Drosophila melanogaster: one gene and its partners. Changing the gene in region 1 together with any one later gene gives a genetic interaction. Each region holds a gene or a part of one and is shown in the gene's direction. Other genes may lie near its edges.

Region 1 (7,495 bases):
ACTCTACGACTAAGGGGTATAAAAACTGATGTATACGGATTAAAGCAGTTTTTGTTATAAGACGTGAAACTGTGAATTTTTTAGCATATTTTTTTAAATTTTTTTTTTTTAAATTAAATAATTCACCGACTGATGTTATGATTAAAATTAATATAGTTTTATTTTTCGTATGGCAGCTATTAACAATAGCTGATACAATAATCTTAGGTACTGTCATGCTTTCATAAATAAGTTGGTACCCTCTATATTTTATTCAATCCTGTCATCTATTAAACAACTAAGCTCCACAGTGAATAGCTTGCATTCCTATATTATTTATTTATATAAAACAGAGAATTCAATTGCCTGATATATTTATTGATTGACTTTCTTTTAACGAAGTAAAGGTGCTGCGGTTGTTATTGTTGTTGTTGTTGTTGTTGCTGTGGTTGTTGTAGGGTAAGTCAATGGATTACAAGTTGTGGTGGTTGGTCCGTTCTTGAGGCAGTTGTTCAAAAGCTCGTAGGTATCGGAGGTGTCTTCCACATAGGAGCGATTTGCGTCATTGATGCAAACACTCTTCCGGCTCTCTAGGATCGTATATTGCTCCTGGATCTGAACTGCAATCTGCGTGGCATTGGCCGAAATGGCATAGAAGGTCTTGGAGCTCTCGGCCGAGTTGGTGGAGGCGCATTCGAGGCGGGAGACCACGGTGTCCAGCGGCTGCTGCTCAAGAGTCCAGACCTGGCAATTGGAGTTGGGATACGAGCAGCCGATGTTGGCGGACCTGAGAAGGATCTGGCGATCCTCGGCATACTTCTCGCTGATATGGGATGTGCAATTGTCATAGGCCGAGATGCAAGCCGTAAAGTTAGTTTCGAACTGATCCGCAATTTTGGCCAATTTGGGCTTGTAGATCGAGAAGCACTGCGTGGAGTGATCTGAGTGGACTTCGGCCAGCTCCCTGCTCTGCAGCTGCAGCTCCTGGATGTGGGCGTCTGGTCTAAAGGGAATTTGCAGCTTCACAGCCAGCGAGAGGCCCAGGGAAAGGCAGAAGACCAAGATCTTGGCTTGCTTTGCGAACATCTTGGCCAGGTTAGTTGACGGTGGATGTGACACCCAGACGTATTTATACTCCCATTTATCATTATCTTTTTAATTACACATTAATGTTATATATTTTCAATTACTGATAATGATGGCTCTAAAGGTTTGATGGATGGCAATGTTAAACGAGAGTAGATAAGCTCATGTTTTACTGCCAAAAACCTTTAAGCTTTCTTGATACACTTTTGAAAAACACCTTCATATTGAGCTGATAATGAATAAGTCGTCCAATCCTTTAGCTAGTTTCAGAGGTATAGGATTTAATCGTTTAAACTTGATTAATATTCACTCAAAGTCTTTTATTTACAGCGATAAAAGTTCACGAATACAGGGTGCTCGAGGTGATCTGAATCTTGACTCGAGTCCTAGAGCACGTAGTTCGTGCTGGGAAACTCCCAGTTGGGATCACCCAGGCAGGCTACCATGTCGGCGTAGCACTCGCCGTGGTTGGTGTTGTAGGTCCGGTAGGCTTCGATTTGGCATCTGGATAGCGTTTCCGAGATTACGGACACCTCGGCGAGCAGGCTGGTTTGGTTGTCGGATGCGTTGTAGGAAGCTTTCTCCAGTTCCTTGGATGCCGAAGGACCCTGCGATTGGGTGGTGATATTATTAATGCTATTAAGCGCAAAAAGTTATACAAAATACGGCTTAAAACACTTTAAAATACTCATTAGAGTATGCGTGGAAGATCATAGATTAAGCCACCATTGTACGAATCACTCACCCCAGAGGCCAAGCACTCGAAGGCATCGGAGTTCGAGGTCCTGCCATTGCAGGTCAGGAGGGAAAGGCAGGTGTCCCTCACGGATACGGACAGCTCGTCGCGGGAACTGCGGTAGCTTGAGTCGATCAGGGAGAAGGCCCCGTCGTAATTGTCCTTGCACGCGGTGAAGTCCTCGTTGTACTTGTCCACGTGACCCTTAAGGAGCGGGCTGTAGTAGTCCACGCATTCGACGTTGAAGAGATCCGATCGCATGGCCGGAGAACTGAGCAGGAGCTCCACCAGCGAGGACTCCCTCTCGGTCTCGACGGGAGTGGGCACGGCAGCCACGAAGACGGCGCCGATAGCCAACAAAAGGGGGACGGCCTTGAACGACATATTCACTTTCGACACTTGGAGAACTGGACAACTGGAGTGTGGGGCCCAAAGACCCAGACTTGGCTTTTATACTGTAGTAATTCCAGCAACTAGATTACTAATATTTATGATCCACAAACTATCTGGGGTAGTTCCTGATGTAGACCCCGTTATCGTGACGCCTTGTGGAAGCTCTTCAAATAAAAGGTGTCAATGAAACCCCCAATATCAATTCAACAATATTCATTCCATCAAATAAACTAAATATATTTTACCCATTATAGGCAAAGAGCTACATATGTATATCTACTTTAGAAATTTAACACCATGGAAAATAATTTCGTGTTCTTGTTATACAATATATGTTTAGAGAAAGGTAGTAAATAAGAGACACTAGATTTCGCTGATATTTTTCTTTGAATAATTAATAGTTTTATTATTTAGCTCGTGTATACTAATAATGCATGGCTTATACACCAATTTTATATAAAACATATCAGGAATTCTGTTTATGGTAAATATAGATGCCTACGCAATTTTTATTTACGTCACCTCTAAAATAATTACATTTACTATCAGTTAAGAGGGTATTCACAAATTTTGTATTGCAATTTGTATTAATCACTTGCAGATTATAAAAGATAACACAATTCTAAGAATTCGTGCAGGAAGCACTTTTGGAGTATGGACACTCATAAATTAACGCATACTTAAACTGGCGGAAGCCACAAGAACTAAATGCAGTGGATTTGAACAACTAATTTTTTTGAGTGCACTGCCAGGACCTCGTTTAACACATCTGTTAACATCTGTTTCTACATAGAGTGATGGTGTCTCTTAACTGCATCGCACTTAACATCGCCAATAGGATGGTGTACTTGCTTAGGTGGGTTGCGTGTATTCGCTAGAAGAGTGCCTTCGGTTGCTATCGATAGCCAATAGCTCTTCGAATATCATCGATAAGTATCGCCCTCAGTACATCGATGCCCGATGCTTTTTTACATCACTAGTCACTTTGTTAATCAAAATATTAGAAAAAACTCCATTTCCGCCTCGAAAGTGCATTTCGGGATCGCGCAGAAGTGTTATTAAGTGCGCGACTCGTTCGTTGATCTTAAAAGCGCTAGTAGGCGATGAAAATCAAGTGGAAAACGATCGTTTTTTCTTCTTAAACTTTTACTTACGGCAGACACGCACACGCACGCAGCTCACCGACGCACTCGCACACACACAACCACTCGCACGCGGAGAGAAGAGCAGCAAGCGGAGGAAGAAGAAGCAGATCATCAAACTTAAAATTTGCGAGGTGAAAATAACGAGAGGCGAAGGTTTTCCCAGCACCGAAGATCATAAATCGCGAGTGCGTTTTCATTACCTCCCATTTTTTGGTGGCCATGCCGGATTTCCACCACCCCCCGCCCCTGCTGAAATCGGTGCTGCCAACTTGCTGGCCACTAAACAAATTTTTTTTTTGTGAATGGGATATGGATGCTGTTGCGCGCAATTTTCCCCACATTTTCCACAAAATGTATTTAACGCCCACTTTCGAGTGCTAAATTTAGTCGGCCAAGCGGAAGGACGAAGCCGCGTCCTTGATAAATCGATGTGTCAAAAGGAAATGCAAAAAAGCGCGGGACACAGAGGAAATAGCGGTGAAAAGCGTGGGCGGGCAGCTGCCGCGAGGTCTTCCGCCCCGCCCCCATTTGTGTTTGCGCTTTTTTCCATGTCCTTGCAGTCGGCTTACAGTTATTGTTCTGTGGCACAAGTGCAAAACTCAACAGGGGGAAGCCCCGCAAATGTACCCTGTACATATGTATGAGCATGTATATGTATATTAATTATGAAGCGCCAGCTGATTCCAGTTCGGAATTCACATGTTTTTGCCGGTTTATATATATGTAGTTAGTACCTTATATTTGGAGTCCTTCAGTCTCAACAGTTCAGGTTAAAACAGGTTAAAATAACACAAGTTATAGTAAAAGTATTCAAATCAATAGATAATACTTATTTTGGATTTTCTACCAGCATCCTACTGACGGTCAAGATGCGTTTACGACTCATACAGGTCGAGAATTAGAAAGAGTATAGCAAATAATTATTTCATGTTCAGCTGAAATCAAACTGCCATGAGTCAACTTAACTTCCGTAGAAATTTCTATGAAATGAAATGGTTTTACAAAAGCCGAGACTTGCACATCCGTTTGTGTCAGAAAAATCCAGATACCATTTACAGGAATATTCAGACACAGTATTCAGTTTATTATTTGTGTGTGGAAAACTATAAACTATCTATTTTGGCATGACCTTTGCTTAGTCATCCGCTGGTGAAAGTTCAAGTTCAAGGTCTTGCTGGTTGATATTGATTGGCAGTCGTTTAATGGTTGCATACCCTTGTGTCCTCGATCCGTAGATTCCTTGGCACCGGCTAGCCGTAAGAGGAGGAGAAATTGCACCCGCCCGGCACACAGCACACAGCATGTTCAGTGAACATGGGCGGATTCCTGGATAAGCCGAAAACCGCCAAGCACAATGACGAGGGTGAGGGCAACAAGCTGCTCTTCGGGGTCAGCTCGATGCAGGGATGGCGGTCGGAGATGGAGGACGCCTACTACGCTCGTGCCGGGCTGGGGGATGCCCTGCCGGACTGGAGCTTCTTTGCCGTGTTCGACGGGCATGCCGGATGCAAGGTGTCGGAGCACTGTGCCAAGCACCTTCTGGAGAGCATTATTAGCACCGAGGAATTCATTGGAGGCGACCACGTGAAGGGCATTCGCACCGGCTTCCTGCGCATCGACGAGGTTATGCGGGAACTGCCGGAATTCACCCGGGAGTCGGAGAAATGCGGCGGAACTACCGCCGTGTGCGCCTTTGTCGGCCTCACGCAAGTGTACATCGCCAATTGTGGTGATTCGAGGGCCGTCTTGTGCCGCCAGGGTGTTCCGGTGTTCGCCACGCAGGATCACAAACCCATTCTGCCGGAGGAGAAAGAGCGCATCTATAATGCGGGTGGCAGTGTTATGATAAAGCGCGTAAATGGTACCCTGGCAGTGTCGAGAGCCCTTGGGGATTACGACTTTAAGAACGTCAAGGAGAAGGGACAGTGCGAGCAGTTGGTATCGCCGGAACCGGAGATATTCTGTCAGAGCCGCCAGGATAGCGATGAGTTCCTGGTGCTCGCTTGCGATGGAATCTGGGATGTGATGTCCAACGAGGACGTGTGCAGCTTCATCCACTCGCGAATGCGGGTGACCAGTAACCTAGTGAGCATCGCCAACCAGGTCGTGGACACCTGCCTGCACAAGGTGAGTCTTGATTACCATGCATATCGTCAAAGTTTTCACATGCTGTTCATTTCTTGACTACAGGGTAGCCGCGACAACATGAGCATCATCATCATTGCCTTCCCCGGAGCTCCGAAGCCCACCGAGGAGGCGATAGAGGCTGAACATCGTCTGGAAAAGCAAATCGAGAAGATCACAAGAGGTTGTCTTAGTCGTCTACTCTGTTTATAACTAATCGTAAACTGTTGACCCATGGCGTAGTGGTCTCCTCCGTCTTCGCGTCTCTTTTGAACCGAAATACGTATATTTTGTACCTTGAGCGTCACGAGTACTTTATATGGGCTCCTCGATGGCCTACAGTCCCGACCCAAAGTGCTTCTAGAGCTGTATATGCCCCACTTTGTCCAAAACTAGAATCTTACAAAACAATTCCTTTCCGAAGTAGTTCCAAAACGAAAAACAATACCAAAACGAAAACCAAACCATTGCCATTACTAATGCCAAGAATGAACTCCTCGCACACCCACCTCAAGTACAGTGAAAGCTCTATTGGATGGATAATAATAGGCACTGATAATCTATATGTGTATTTCTAATACTTATTTGAAACCTTTCGAATTTACAAATTCATATCAACAGCAAAAAGGCTGAAGTCCGTTTTTTTTTTTTTACAAGAGTGCTATATAAATGTTGTATACTCTACATAATGTGGCTCATTTATGCTCATATTCTTAGTGCTTAGACATCACGTACATTTAGTTATATATTCCCTTAGAGAGCTTTCACCGATATTTGCCTGTATAAATATGTAAATGGGGTGTGTGTGGGCGTTCGACCAATATCCTATCACTAATGCATAGCAAATACCTGTATAGCGTGTTAGTTTGTCATATCTGGTGGCTGTGCGTGTGGCTGACCAGTGTTCGTCTGCCCCGTGTGTGAGCCTGAGTTATAGTATTATTTATACATGCCTGTGTGCACTACAGCCACTGCCAAAAGCGTTCCATGTATGCGAAATCCAGCCCATTTAGCTTTAGTCGTACATATACACCTAAATAATAACAATTATCGACGAACCTGCCCGAGCTAAGTAGTTAAATGACCCGTCAACCAATTTGTATATACATTTACTTGCATATACGTATACCCCATTTGATACTAGGCGCGATGTGAATCAATCAAACGAAATTGCAATACTTAACGTACGCAGGTATTGACACTCAAAACAAACACTTGGAATTGATGTATCTAAGTAGGAGTAGCGAATTAAATCTTAATTTCTAAGCAAAATCAAATAGGAGAGTATAATGTCTTCAGAGAAGATTAGTTGTAGATAGAAATGTAAATAAGCTGAATAGCTGACAAAAACTTTGAGAAGCAATGAAAACATATATTTTATTAACTAGCAACCGCTCAGATGAACTGTAGTCGTATTACTTGAATTACGTATTTAAAGCAATGAATAACCCTTGGTGGTGTTTATCCGAGACTTCAGTATTCGAGGCACCAAAGTGAAACTCGGCCAAAAACCCGCAGGCCGACCTTGTTGATATAGACAATTACTTTAGACCGAATTCGTACGATTTACAATTAGCCAGTTAGTGAATAGACTTAGAGCATGCATTGCCCACCACTGGTCACAGTAGCTAACCCATTTAGAAATTATTTAGGCTAAGCAATAAACCAATGTCCAGTGTCCAGACGAATTACTTAGCCTAGAGTAGAGTAGCCAAAGGAGTTGAAATGTTATAGAATGTATACGTAGGTTAACGAAACCGAATTGTAAACCTTATGCTCACCAACTGTTGTGCTTGTTGTTAACCGAAGGCAAACGATTACTCCACCCAAATCGATCAGACATATTCCATTCAATCTAAGCAACTTCCCCGAAATATTTGTACTTGGGTGCCCTGGTAAATTGGTGATCCAGTTAAAAGTGTAAAACACACACATCCCACACAGCCGAACATACACGACTTTTAGAGATTAATGAACTACCATTGATGATAGTCAAAAATATAACTTAACGAAAGATTTAAAAACCTAAGCC
Region 2 (5,917 bases), on another chromosome or scaffold:
ATTTGTGATCTTAGTCACTCACAAGATTAGAAGCAATAATGTTTACAATACCTTAATTATATGTCAAATGGTTCGGAATATTGGTTTTAATATTTTTTCAGACTAGTGATACTAATCAACTGCTTTCTTTTCGTTGCAGTTTGTTTATCGTTTCCTAATTTGGCTGCCGTTGAGCTGGAGTTGGCATTGTGACAAGCAGCTGGAGGAGATTGAGATCCTGCGCCCGATCCTAAACCCACAAAGCTGCCAAATGCGACCAACGCTCTCAAACACACAAGCACACACATACACACCCACACACAAAAGAAAACACACATTGTTTTATGCGATCTTTTTATTAAGTATTTCATTTAAGGCTTATTGTTTATGCAAACAATCAACAAACATGATTACATTTTAAGCTTTACGTTTAGCGCGCCAAAAACAAAAAGAAATCAAGTTATGTAATAATGATGCAATCGCAACTCAAGAGGACACCTAACAATTTGCTACATTACATTTAACTAAATGACTACATTACTTGGAAATCGTTAAGTGTCTATTGTATACTATAACAAAAAAAAAAACCATATGCGTGTAAACACTCTCTGAACAATAAACGAAAAACCAAACGGCCATTTGACTTAATCCGCAGATCAAGCCGAAATCTGTAACTAAATAACTGAGAGGACTTCTGAGTGAATCTGGTTTGTGGTGAGGATCTGACAATCAAATAATCTAGAAAATCCTTTTCAGAAAATCAAACTGAAAACGTTTCTACTTAGATACAACTTGAAACTTCATTTTAACATAAGTTTGGTGTTGCCAAGTCTATTAATGCATTATGACAAACGGTTTTGATATACTAATTGCCCTTGATTGGTATATATTTTAAAATCCATAAATTCAACAAAAAAAATCGAAGCTTGAAAATCATCTATAAATCTATTTAACAGCCTTTTCCTCTTGCCGTTTAAATGTATTCAAAGTGCGATTAGGAAAACCCACATTGGGGTCTTTTATGAGTATTTATGTGTAAACTTCACATTAACATGAGGTGGATAAGAAAAACTAAACGTTTTAAGAAACTTGTTCACGACGCAAATAGTAAACGAAGTTTACGAACCCATATTGACGTCAAGATCGAGTTAATACTAAATAAATGTTGTAAATTAGGGAGATCAAAAAACCCGGTCCAAATGGGTTTTTCATTCATAACGAAATAATAACGGAAGCTAGACAAATGACCAAAACACTTTTCCGGACATAAATATGAGAAAATATGGGAGGAGTGGGTTTATAAACAGGCCCAAAAACCTGAAACCGAAACTCGTAGACCCATTCATACGAATGGAAATGCCACAAAATACTATATTTATAACATCTGCGCCTAGCTTCGAATTTTGTGGGCGGGGCAAATGGAGGAGGAGGAGGAATCGAGTGGACAGCTGGAAACGGAAAAAAAGAAGAAAAGCCCTGTCTCCTCTTCTTCCCACGTCGGTTACGTTTCGTTGAGCGAAATGATCAACATATTCAAATGGTCGTTACGCACGCTACACAGAAAATAGCATTGTGAACGTTCTTAACAAATATTATGATACACTTTAAAAGCATATACTAAAGGGAAATGTTAATTTTCGATAAGTCTCTTTAAATTATTACAATTACTATAAACTATAACTGTGTTATAGTATTTACAATTATAATTTATTTTATATACAATTATTTTGCTCAGTGCAGTTGAAGTGACTAGATCAAATGCAGGGCATACGAAAACAATGAAACCCAGCCGAGCAACCATCCGAAATGTTGACCCGACCACTTCCACTTATTGGCGGCAGTTGTGATAAGATGCACCGCCTCACTTGTTGATCTCTCCCTGCCAGTTGTTGTTCTTGTTGTTGTTGTGATGCATGTGGTTTCCAAGGCAAGGAGCAGAAGCAACATATGCGTAAAGAAAAACATAAGCGGCGTTGCTGTCCGGATGCCGTGTGAATTTCACATTTCACTGCCTTGTTTCTGAATATTTGTGTACTTTTAATGTACATATGTGTGTACTATGTAGTTCCTCGGGTTCCTGTGGACTGTCTGCGATCCAGAACGCCCACGTAATGTGCGCTACGGTATAAACAGCCGGGCATTTGATTTTTACTTACTTTGCTAAGCATAACTAGCTATTGATACATGGTTATTGGAATAGATATGAATCTTAAACTGGTTGAATTTAAAAATAAACATTGCTTTCTGATATAATTCCTTAACGATCGATCATAAACAAAACAGGGTTTTTTATTGCTTTGTACCGCCCTTCTTAAGTCGCATATGCCTCGACTTTCTCTGCCGGCGATCTTCGGTTGTTTCCGCTGTTGGTGGCGCCGGTGCAACATGTGTGTGTGTTTAAGTGTAGGTGACCGCTGCTGCGTGTGTGCGTTTTCATTCACAAAATTTTTGGGAGGTGCATGTGTACACTTGCCGCTTGGAAATTTTAATTCAGTTCCATTTCGGCCGACCTGCAACACGTTCGTAATTCGGAGTGTGTTTCAAAGTTAAGCAACTAAAAACCAATCGGAATTAATAAAAACATCAATTAAACCTCAAGTTAAAATAAAAAAAACCAAAAATTCAGTGTTTAATAATAATCAATTTTAAATAAATTACAAAATATATAACTGTTTGTTGGAGCTAACGATATATATTCGATAGCCAGAACTGGTGAAATATCGAAATTAAACTTAAACATTTTTAATGAAAACCTTACTGTTGTGCTTAACTTAATAAGCATAAGCCGTTGTTGAATAAAATAAAAAAATTATTTTAAAACATATCTGCTTCAAACAAATTATTAAGCAAACATTAATCATTTGCGTTTCCCGTGGTATTTTCGGGGCACCGTGCTAAGGTCACACTAATTCGTTGGAGTCATACAACCGTCTCGCTACGGTCACTCTAGTTCTGATTCCGCTTCGAAAGGTTGTTCGCGGATGCGTGTAAACCCGCAAAGCAAATAAACTCGGAGAACCAAGTTTTTGCGATTCTGATTCAAGCAACCGAATTACTTTCCATACTTCGATAATATAATCCCACGTCTGCTAGTGCGTGCAAAAAACAGTTTGTAGTTAAAACGAAATACTAAAATCAGTCGAGCCCTGAAGCAACAGGGAAAGTGCATTTCGTGAGCGGCAAATCGACTCATATTCCCGTCACACCAGCTCAATGCACAATGCAACGCTGCAGCGAGTGATGAAATTCAAATGCAAATAGCCGGCTAATAAACCTGTTAAAGAAAAACAAATAATTTCGAGTTATTAAAGTTTCGTGAAGATCGAGTGAAGGAGTTAGATAAATTTCCAATCGCGTGTTGCAAGTTCCCCAGTGGGTAGCTGACAAAAAGCTGGCTGCTTTAAGCGCACAATGCTGCTGAAGAAGAAGCGCTATATGTTCGACGAGCGAGACGACAATAATATTAACTCGCCCGTCGCCGTCGAGCCAAGCAGCAACAACAACAAAATGGCCGATACACGCGAAGTGCGCATTGAAGAGCAATTAAAAGTGAAAATTGGTATGTAAATCGAGTGCGAAATCGTTCAAAAACATCAAAAATATGTCGAAGAACATGCGTGGCATGAACGTTGAGTGAAATACGCGCAGCAACGTGCGTTTTTTATGTTCCAAAGTGTGCTGGAATTTTGACAGCGTCGCCGTTTGCCCCGCGGAGCCTCTTCCAAGCAGAAAACAACATAGAATCGGGAGAATATGTCTAAAAGTTTTCCAAAATGTTGTGTAATCTAATGGCAAACCGAAATTTGTGCGAGTTGAGGCAAAGAAAGTCGATTAATTGAGAAAACAAATGTGTTTTTGTTCTAGAAATGCATATTGCGTTCAAGTGTATAAGCATGCTGTCCCGCTCTGACTCGCGTGTTGCTCTGTGCGTGTGTGTTTCTGTTGCCTTTTTCCCTGTGTGTGTGTGTTTTTTTTTCGTGCAGCAGCAGTGCAATACATTTGTTGTTGCTGCCGTTTGAGAAGTAATGGATGACCAGGCTGAATGTTACGGCATTCGCTTCTTGACCCACCCCCAGAACCGCTCTTCCTCCTTCATCGCCCAGCACACCCCCCGCAGTTTTGAATGCGCCCCTTTTTGTGAATGAATCGGAAATCAAGCATGTGTCTGTGAGACGCTCCAGCGCATGCTCACACACACGCGACAAACGCACACACACAAGCGGCAGAGAGATCCCAGCAACAATGTGTGGGTTTTTTTATGAATGGAATTTTCGAATTCGGTGTACTTTTCTCAATACGAAGGTGTCTGTTTTATGAATGATTATCAAAAGCAACAAGCGAAAAGAGCATCGATTAATGGCCTACTATATATTGGCAAGAGGTCAAATGAATGAATGACGCTCTCTCACTTTTCCTCTCCATTCTGCCATCCACTTCATTCTGAAGCGAGAGCGAAGCAGACTGCAAGAGATAGACGAAAAATAAACTTGCGGTTGTTTTTTGGTGGTTTTACATTTCCTGTTGAAACATAAAAAGTAAAACAGAATTATGAATAACCACTGGCTGTGTGTACTGTGCGGGGAGGGGGGGGGGGGGTTCAAAAGTTCCCGTGATCTCATTTTCACACCTGCACACGCATTTATTTTTACCTCTTCTGCTTCTCACATTTTCAATCTCGCAACTCATAAGCAGCTTTTGCTATGCTTTTTCAACATAAATTATATGCAAAGCTGCAACAACATTGTTGCCTTGCCGCTTTTGATTTCCGTTTCCCAGCGCCCAGAGTTTCCCTTCGTGTGTTGCGGTTTTGTGTTCTTTTTCTCCGGCCATAAAACTCTTGCTTTTTTCAGTTGCTCTTCTTTTTTTCCGTGTCTTCCCCTCTTCAACTGCTTTTTGCACGCTTCAATTGTTTTCGCATGCGCCTCTGTCTTTGTCGGGATCTTCTCTTCGCACCCTCCTCTCCTCTCGACACTTCCTTTTGCCACATTCCCTTCTTTCTCCAGCTGCTTTAACCCTTTTGGGTTCTGCGAAGAAGATGGCACAATATTGGTTAAAAATGAATTAAAACACGTTTCTGCGCTGATTGAAGAACGAAAGTTATGCACTTCCTTCGATTATCGGGTTGTTATGGCAAATTAGCTGTCACCTTTTTACCTCCATTTCATTCGTTCGCCTTTGTGGTTCATGTTTACCCTCTTTACCTGCAAAAATTCCGTTAAGGATCGACCACAGCTTCCCAAGATACATATCTGATCTCATTAAAAATCCTGAGTAGTTATTACACAACACCATATCTAAAGGAATTGCCATTCAAAAATGCCTCTAAAATGTTAAAAAATGCTGTGTTATGGATCGGGAATACCTATCGAGCAGGAAATTTAACCATATTCTCTAGTTTTATAGAAGTATTATTGGGAACTCACTATTATTTATTTATAGTTTTCCCTCTTAAAAACTCTACTAAAGATATAGAAATGCGATTTCAAACGGCTCACGATCACGTTTTCTAATGATTGAAGAATGAAAGTTATTCATTTCCCATAATCATCATTGATTATCGCATCATTATAGCACATTAGCTGCTGTGTCACCTCTATTGCCCATCAACAGTCAGCTTCTTTCCCATCCGCTTTATAACGTGATATATGTACGTATTTATATATCGTTATAAGCGCTATACATATCTATGTATGTATATGTATGTACACCCTGCATTCTTCTCCCAAGTATCATATTTCCACTTCATTATGCTTTGCATGCTTAATAATAATACTTCCACATCGTGCTCAGTTTCAATTACACACGGAGTTTCGCTTTTGTTGCTATTGTTGTGGGGGCTTTCCATTTCCATTTTGTTGCTCGTTGCGATTTCTACACGAAACGTCCGTCCAAAATTGGCGTAATACTTTTCCACTTAATTAAAATGTTTAGCGCATAA
Region 3 (8,471 bases), on another chromosome or scaffold:
GTGCGCCTCCATATAGCGCTTGAGGGCTACGCAGACGTGGCGCACCATTTGTCGGGAAGCACATTCTACGTCTTCGTTGAAATCAGAGTCATTATCGCTGTCGTTGTGGCTCGGATCAAGAATTTTTAGTACGGAAATCTATTAGGAAGAAGTTAAGGTAATTGACTTTAATCGAACTTCTTTCGTTTAAACCATTTACTTACGACATTGTACAGCTTTCTTAAACCATCCTGAGCATCAAACTCATCCAATATGACCTTAAATTGGAAGCTCAGACTGAAGAACATGGTGGCATGGCACTTTGAGGAGTCGTGGCAACGACCCAGAATCCAAAGCGCGTAGCGAACTAGTTCTGAAATAAGTGGTCTTTGCATACTGCATATGCGTTCCATGGCGTCTTCACAGTATGCTAAGTAGTAGATGGCGATGGACACACCAGTAGTCGCCAAACTGGGGCGGGGCACTTTTAACAAAAGCTGTAAAAAATAGTAAAGTTAAAAATAATTACATTCCCTCTACAAGACCATTTACTGACCTCCAGTCCACCGTGTGAAATGAACTCTAAAGCAAACTTCTTGTGGCAAAGAAGGGAAGCCAGATACTTCAAAACTTCGTAGGCCAAGCAGGTGTCCCGGCGATCCAAGTTCTCCAGGTAGCCAAAAATTAGCTGCATCACATTGTTTTCGAAAGCCATGGCTAGGAACTCTTGATATTCGCCCAGGCTGGTCAGGAAGCGCATGATTAACATTTGGCTGGTATCTGCTGTGGCCGGGTGCAAAGGAATGTACATCCGTTTGTAATAGCGAGATACGGAAAAGGCATCTCTGCTGTTCTCGAACAGAATGGACATATTAGAGGCGTCTCCATGCTGCGAGGAACTTGCTCCCAGCCCACTGCCATTGTGCTGCGGCGATTGAGGAGCCGATGCATTACTGGCGCAGGCCACCCAGCTAAGCATGCCCGCCGTGCTGCTGTCAGCCGACAGATTGTGCATCGACGTATTGACATCTGAAGTGGCGCTCTTGCTGATCGCCAGGAGCATGTGCAGACGCTTGATCATCTTTGGCACCAATCGAATATTAAGATCGCGAAAGTTTATGGCTATGTCGCTCACTTCCATCGCTTCGGCTAAAAGCCCGGTGGCATAGCTCTGAAGCGGTTCAATGCTGTCCTCTGCCCAAGAGTAGATGCGATTGATGGTTCCATCGCCTTCGGCGGTCTGAAATACTGCAGAGGTCTCCATTCCTGGCATTATCTCCAGAATGAGGCGGCAGGCCAAGATGTTTAGTTCTAGAGAACTGCGACTGACATTCTGGCGACTGAAATAGTTCTCTCGCAGGTAATCGTTGAGGAGCTAGTTAAATAAAATATTTCACTTTAGTTAGCTTATGTTTTGGAAATTCTAAAACACCTGATTTTAAGAAAACATTTACATTGCTTTTTAGAAAAATAAAAATCACATGACTTTATTCTTACTTTGCCCATGAAGGTATCCTTCCGAAAGAGCAGCTTGAGTAGCAATCCGTACTGGCAGCTGGGATCGGCTCTATATGGATGTCGTGAGTCCAAGGGATCCGGATCCTTGCGCCGATACACGTCCTTCTCACGCTCAAAGATCTCCGCAAGGCTGCGATAGTAAAGGTATTAAGTTGGACCCATGCGTTAATGATTTTGAAGCACGCTTACCTCCTGAGAGTGGGCACTGGATCGTATCCATTTTGGGTCTGCTGTTGCTCCCACTTGTCGATAATCTGGGTGAGCTCCTTCTTGGTGGCTTGGCGACGGTCGGCGGCAGCGGTTTCCTCGGCGTTTCCACCGCTATCGCTTTCGTTTTCCGCATTTTCCACGCTCATGGCGTCGTCAGCATCAGCGTCTTCGTCGGCCTCTGGTTCCCCCCCATCCTGTTGTTCAGCGGCGTCCTCTTCCTGGTTATCGCCAGCCTGCTCCGGCATATCCTCGGCTTCTGGCTGCTCCTCCTCGTCGCTCTGGTAGGCCACAGCCACAGCTTCAGCCATCAGTGCCGCTTCAGTCGCGGCCTCTGCCTCGGCCGCAGCCTCTGCTGCGGCCGCATTCTCGCTTCCGCTGCCCTCAGACATCGAAATGAATTACTGGGTTTTGGATGCACTAGGTCTTGATCCAGTGGCTTTCTTTGCTAGATTTTCGACACAGCGAAACTTACTTCTAATGGCGAAATAAAGCAAATAAATAAGGTATTAAATACCACGCGCTTTTCGCAAAATTAGTGTGGCCTTTTGCTATTGTCGTTGAAATAATGAAGTCAGCTGTCGCACAAATTTGTTTGTTTTCGTCTTTCGGCAAATTAAACCAATCTAAAAGGTCTTTAAATAAGTCTAAAGTACACAAAAGGATTTAAATGCCTAACTCAATTAATTATTTCCAAGCAAATGCACAGATAAAAGCGTGCCAAAGAGCAACGTGCAACTGTGAGGTAAACGGAACGGTGGTAATAGGAACACTACGTTGTTGCTTCTAAATTGTTCACAACTTTGTAGTGATTTCATAAACAAAAATACAGGTAGGTTGAAATACTATTTAGAACTAAGTCTGTGATCTTTTACAACAATTTTTCTGGATGCATGCAAAATATAATTGTCTGATACCATCTCAGTTGATCGATTGAATTAACTATCGCCCGTGTACAACATCTGCATTACAAATTCTGCAACTCCTTGATGTAAACACTAGATCTGTTAACCTATTCTTTCTTTTTATTTTAAAAGACACTTGAAAAATGCGGTTAAATTAGGTACAACGTTGCCAGGTCTTGGTGCAGTTAGTCTGCGGCCTGGCAGCACGGTAAGCAATGAAGGCATTGCCGGATCGATTACATACGCGGTCTGGTAGCCCTCCATGCTTTAGCTCTGAAAATGTTGTGAAAAGAAAACGCTCTTTTCCCCATGATTTGCGTCCAATTCGGAAGTGCTAACTGTGCGGGCGAGATAGTTATAATGCCGATCGAGTGAGGACAAGACACTAAACGGGCGGAGCGACTGCGCTGCGATCGCCCCGCTTCAGCAATTGTGTGTGTGTATCATGGACAAGCTACGAAACAACAACAAGGAGAATGCACCCATTGAGTACCCCTACCCACAGACCCCCCGTCCCACCCACGCCGCCCCCTCCGACACGACCCCACTTGAAGCTGGCGAGGATGCGGAGAGCAACAAGAGTACACCCTACTTTACGCCCCTCGAGTACCTGCAGACGTCCTTCGAGTTTCCGTCGCCCACGGTGGAGGTTGGGGGCGGGGTTCCGGGCTTTCCCGAGCACGAGGATCAGGAGGAGGAGGTCTTCACCCCCCGGCAGTTCACCATTACCAGCCCCCATCCAGCAGCCCACGTCCACCATCCATCCAGCTCACAGTCTCCCACTTTAGGCCGCAAGTTCAAGAGGTTATCACAGTATGATCGCCGATCCTGCTCGCCGCATATTAATACCTCCAGCGGCGAGGAGCGGGTCAGTGGCCGTGGCATCGACAAGGAGAACACTATGCCCAAGGGCGGGTCAGTCGACCAAGACCTAGAGAACAGCTTGTACTTGTCGAAGAGCGAGCACAACTCACCCACCATCCTGTTTAAGGATGAGTCCTCCACGACGCCGGGACTGGAGGCCAGTCGCCTAAGCTACTCCCCGAAACTACTATCCTCCATCAACAACCTAAACGTGTCCGGTTCACCCCTGAACATTATTAACTCGGCCGGCTACAAGAACGGCAACTTCTTTCGCTTCCCCGAGATCGATCATGTCGTGCAGGATGCGCCCATGGATACAGTCTGTTTAGAGGAAGCTACACGTCGGGATCGTAGTCCTGCGTTGGCCGAGCCGCCGGAGCAGCAGCAACAAAAATCGGAAGGGCGAAAGAACCGCAAGAATAAAAATAATCTCACCATTCGCATCACGGACGTGCCCATAAAAAACTCGAGCCAGCCATCACCATTGCCCAAGCCCAAGACACCGACTATCAAGAGCACCAAGGAGAAGGCCCGCTCGCTGGACTCGGCTGCCAACGAATCGGAACTGTCAATCGTGGTGCACAACATAACCGAATCTCATGGCAGTTGTGATGACATGGAGACAGGACAGAGCCAGCCATCGACAAGTGTTATCCACCATCACCTTCATCTTCAACAGCCCGCATCCGCTATCCACTCAACATCGCTCTCGCGACTGGATAGTCACCTAAGCTTGGCCAATCAAAGACGAACGCCGCGCAGAAAGTCACCAGGAATCAACACCACTGACTGGCTTATGTACCACCGCAAGCAGAACCCATATCAGGTGCAACCGACACACTGCAGCTCCACGACACAAAGCTCCTTGGACTCGGACGCCAGTTTAACCCCCAGTTTGGGGGACTTTGAACTGAAGTCCGCCTGTAGCGTGGACGGTGGCTCGAAGTTTGGAATAGGCGCAAGCCTAGCGCCGAGAAGCGCCCACAAGCACAATCAGTTACTGCACTCGTCCAGCACAAATTTAAAAACGCTTCCCGAGTGCCTTACCCTGGTGGAGTTCTCCTCCTCTGGCGGTGGTCCTAAGGAATCGCCTTTCAAGCAGAAGTCAATGGATTTGCCGATGCCGACACTCCAGGCAAAGACCACAGTGTCTACATCATCGATGAATCTCCTTCAGCGTCGGGGATCCAATCACAGTTTAACGCTCAACCTGCACAGCTCTTGTGGCAACCTAATGAACAGTGGACTAAGTCATTCCAACTATAGCCTGGGCTCAATACTCAACTCCAAGTCCAGCTGCAATTTGGATGCGGGAACCGCCAGCCAAATTCGAGCGGATCAATTGCCACAGTCACATCTGCTGGGAAGCAGCCAGGGTAGTCGGCAGGGGTTGTTCAGGAGGCGGGGATCAAATCACAGTATCACCCTGAAGACGGGGCACACTACAACATCGTGTGGAGATCTAAACTCCATGCAGCAGCTCCAACAGCAACAGGCAATGTTAAGTGCGGAAAAGTACAACCGACTCAATATGCGAACCAATTCCACCGGCTCGGGATCGGGCTCTGGATCCAATGTACCTACTCCGAAACGAGGACTTTTAGAACGTCGTGGCTCCAATCAAAGCCTCACTCTCAACATGGGCAGCATACTGGGAGGAGCAGCAGGTACCGAGATCCAGATGACGGACATCGTGCAACCGAAAGTCACGGTTTGCAGTTGTGCTGCCGCCAACCAAGCCCCGCATCAGCGCAAATTCTTTAGCACTGAGAACTTGAACAGCAGTAAAGCCAATAGCCAAAAGTTCTTCGGGCAGGTATGTTTCGGATCCGCCTCGGACTTGCAACCCAATCCTCAGCAGGATTCGGTGAGGGAAGATCAGGCCATTGGCGCGACGTGCACTTGCGCTGGCACCGTACGCAACATTATGACCCGTCCTCTGTCGCCCCAAACGACTAGCGAGGAGTTCAAGATCTACTTGGCCAGCATACAGATGCTGCAGAGCGCCTCCAATCCACTTAATCAGTTTGATCTTATCCGGCTGAACTACGTGTTCGATCACAGCTACCAGACGAATAGGAACATCATAGAGCAGCCGCCGGTGCTGGGCTCCAACGCACGGGATGTGGAGACACCCACGGATATGGTGCCCCCGAGCTCGGAGGACAGTGAACTGCTCGCGTCCTACCAGACAGTGGTTAGTAGGATGGCGCAACCAATACCGGAACTGAAAGAAAACGAACAAAAGAGAATCTTTCGGGATCTGCACAAGGAGTTCTGGGACCTGCCGCTCAATCACCAAGAGAAGCCAATGGTCTTCGGCTCGCAGACAAAAAATCGCTACAAGACTATCTTGCCAAACGAGAACTCTCGCGTGCTACTCGAATCCGAGTCCAGCGAGCTGACTAGCTTGCTGGGGGAAATAAAACGGACCAGCTCCGTGACCGCTAGCGAGGACTTGCCCTACATTAATGCCAATTACATCAAGGTAATGGAACTAAGCGCAAATCCAATGAAAGTAATGTATATATTTCCTTCATTTCAGGGACCCGACTACGTGTCGAAGTGCTATGTGGCCACGCAGGGTCCACTGCCCAATACAATCTTCGAGTTCTGGCTTATGATATACCAGAACACGCAGCGCTACATAAGACGGTGCGTGGATGGAGGCAGCAGCAGCAGTCCTCACGTTGACAGGGAGCAAATCCTGCAGCAGTACTTCCAGAAGATTGTCATGCTCACAAACTTCACGGAAGCGAACCGGCAGAAGTGCGCCGTCTACTTCCCCATCGAATTGAATGAGATCTTCGCGGTGGCCGCCAAGTGTGAAGTGTTTCAGCTGAGTGCGGCTGCCCGGGATTACTTCGATCGGTATTTAACGCCCACCTTTGTGCCGGACACTGTGGTGGCTTCCTCGGATGCGATCGACTATGAGATAAGTGGCCGGCACATAGGCGTGGAGTCGGTGAAGGTGACGCTGGAAGGGGATCTGCTGGAGGCTTTGCCCGCCCAGGGAAGCTTCTTCCTCATTAAAAACGTCGGCATTGTGCGAAGAAATGGTTACTCGGTGAGAAAGCTGGTGCTGCTCTATTGCATTCGTGTGCCACAGAGTGCTAGCTACCACCTGCAGAAAATCTACTGCTACCACTATTGGTATCCCGACTGGCCGGATCATCACTCGCCTCGGGACATCAACACGCTGCTGGACACCTGCTTGCATGTACTCAACCTTGGAAAGTGTGAGTCGGAGTTTGACATCTACGATGACACCAGGAGCGAGAGGAATGCCCACCTGGCTGCTCAGCGGCTGGAGATCTACCAGCAGGACATCTTCAATGCAGTCCAGCCCCTTCCCGTCATCCACTGCTCGGCTGGAATTGGGCGCACCGGTTGCTTCACGGCCATCCTGAATGCAGTGCGCCAGTTGCGGCAGTCGTTGGCCTACTCGCTGACAGGAATGCTCACCAAATCGCTGACCAGCAGCTCGACAGAGGAGTACCATAACCCAACGGACAGCGACAGCAGTTTTACTTGCAACACCATCCGGCACATCAGCCACATTCTGGATCATCGCGATGCGGAGGCGGTTAAGACGCCGCCATCCTTTGACCGTCTGCCCAAGATGCCGGACATTTTCGTGGACGTCCTGGGCATCGTTTGCAATCTTCGCCTGCAGCGGGGCGGGATGGTCCAGAACTCGGAGCAGTATGAGCTCATCCATCGGGCCATTTGCCTCTACCTGAAACGCACACTGGCGTTGAGGCGATTTTAAAAGCGAGCGAAAACCATGATCAACAACTTTTTGACGACAAAACGATGGAGATGAAGAACAAAACACCAATTTACTATTTGTAATCACAATTTTTGTGGCCCTTATTTTAATGAAAGCAACCGCGACGGACAAGCAACAAGTAAAACAAGAAACCATGGCTAAAAGAGTCTCGAAAATGGAATATGATGGCATTCTCCGAAGGAGGATTGACGGAATGCTTTCAATGTTTTCTAAATATTACTATTACCACATATTCTACATATATATAAATGTTTATTAAGTGTTGGATGTATGTGTGTTAAATGTGTACATAAGTGTAAATGTTTCCGACTTTTGGTGTGAACTATGCTTAAACTAAAGTTAATTAACAATTATTATACCCTACCTTACCTTACCAAAACCATACCTTACCATAAAGATGCGCATCTATATATGACTCGCGACGTTCGTCGACGCCCCTCGGTGAGTTGTGCATCCTGCTTGGAGGCGGAGAAAGCTCAAACCTTTCTCAAGTTGGATCCTTCCCTGGGTCCTTCTGACTAAACACCAATTTCTCCAATCCCAAGCGGACAGCTCGACCGCCGGACGTGGACCAAAATACGGACACGAGTTCATTTAAAACACAAGATAAAAATTCGATAAGTAAAATGGAAACCCATAAATGAACATGTATTTAAGTTTATGCAATGGAACTAGTCAAATAAAAATTAGAAACATTTTAAATGTAACCTTAATGTGTAAAGTTGGCAGTTTTATTTTGTTGTTCTTAACGTTTTTAAGTAAAGGGAAATTGCGATGAGTTACTTTTTTGACATTAACAAGAAATTCTCCAGTACTCAAAATTACATCTTTTAATTAGAGCTTTAAGTTAAAGTAAATTAAATGTTTATATTTTCTATTTACAACTTGAACTAATTGACGTCGAAAATCACTCATGCAGCACCAGCTAAGGGTTAAGCGCCTCAAACAGCTGATTTCGACGAACAAAGTTCAGTGTTTCAGATTCAGGTTTTGAGATTGCCGAATAATTGCCGATTAGATTGTTAAGGAAACCCGTAACGGGCTGATTTCACAATGCTTCTTCGTCCGTGTGGAAGACTAATCTTTACCAGGTTTTGCAGCAGCATGAAGGTAATGAGTGCGCTTCCAAATCGCAACAAAATTGTTCAATTACTTGTTTGTAGGTGAAAGTGCCAGTGAAACAAGGCGTTTTGGTGGGCCGGCAA

Evidence for each region.
Region 2: of alph (region 1) and RasGAP1, changing one enhances a phenotype caused by changing the other (phenotypic enhancement), as found in Drosophila melanogaster (one study listed by BioGRID).
Region 3: of alph (region 1) and PTP-ER, changing one enhances a phenotype caused by changing the other (phenotypic enhancement), as found in Drosophila melanogaster (one study listed by BioGRID).

What each region holds. Positions count from the first base shown.
Region 1 is NT_033777.3:29,588,698-29,596,192, forward strand, and holds the start of alph (alphabet), read left to right. Parts: upstream 1-3,133; 5' UTR 3,134-3,470; intron 3,471-4,396; exon of another isoform or gene 4,397-4,574; 5' UTR 4,575-4,653; coding exon 4,654-5,466; intron 5,467-5,529; coding exon 5,530-5,647; intron 5,648-7,495. Other genes in the region: CG11470 (uncharacterized protein), read right to left, coding at 373-1,065; CG31041 (uncharacterized protein), read right to left, coding at 1,452-1,673, 1,811-2,185.
Region 2 is NT_037436.4:9,852,286-9,858,202, reverse strand, and holds the start of RasGAP1 (Ras GTPase activating protein 1), read left to right. Parts: upstream 1-2,917; 5' UTR 2,918-3,390; coding exon 3,391-3,538; intron 3,539-5,917. UniProt on the Drosophila melanogaster protein: Inhibitory regulator of the Ras-cyclic AMP pathway. May function as a negative regulator of Ras85D/Ras1 in the sev signaling pathway. Acts cell autonomously in cone cell precursors as a negative regulator of R7 photoreceptor cell determination.
Region 3 is NT_033778.4:21,618,821-21,627,291, reverse strand, and holds PTP-ER (protein tyrosine phosphatase-ERK/Enhancer of Ras1), read left to right. Parts: upstream 1-2,845; 5' UTR 2,846-3,054; coding exon 3,055-5,961; intron 5,962-6,018; coding exon 6,019-7,245; 3' UTR 7,246-7,971; downstream 7,972-8,471. Other genes in the region: mahj (mahjong), read right to left, coding at 1-138, 204-476, 536-1,354, 1,477-1,627, 1,687-2,096; clt (cricklet), read left to right, coding at 8,320-8,376, 8,430-8,471.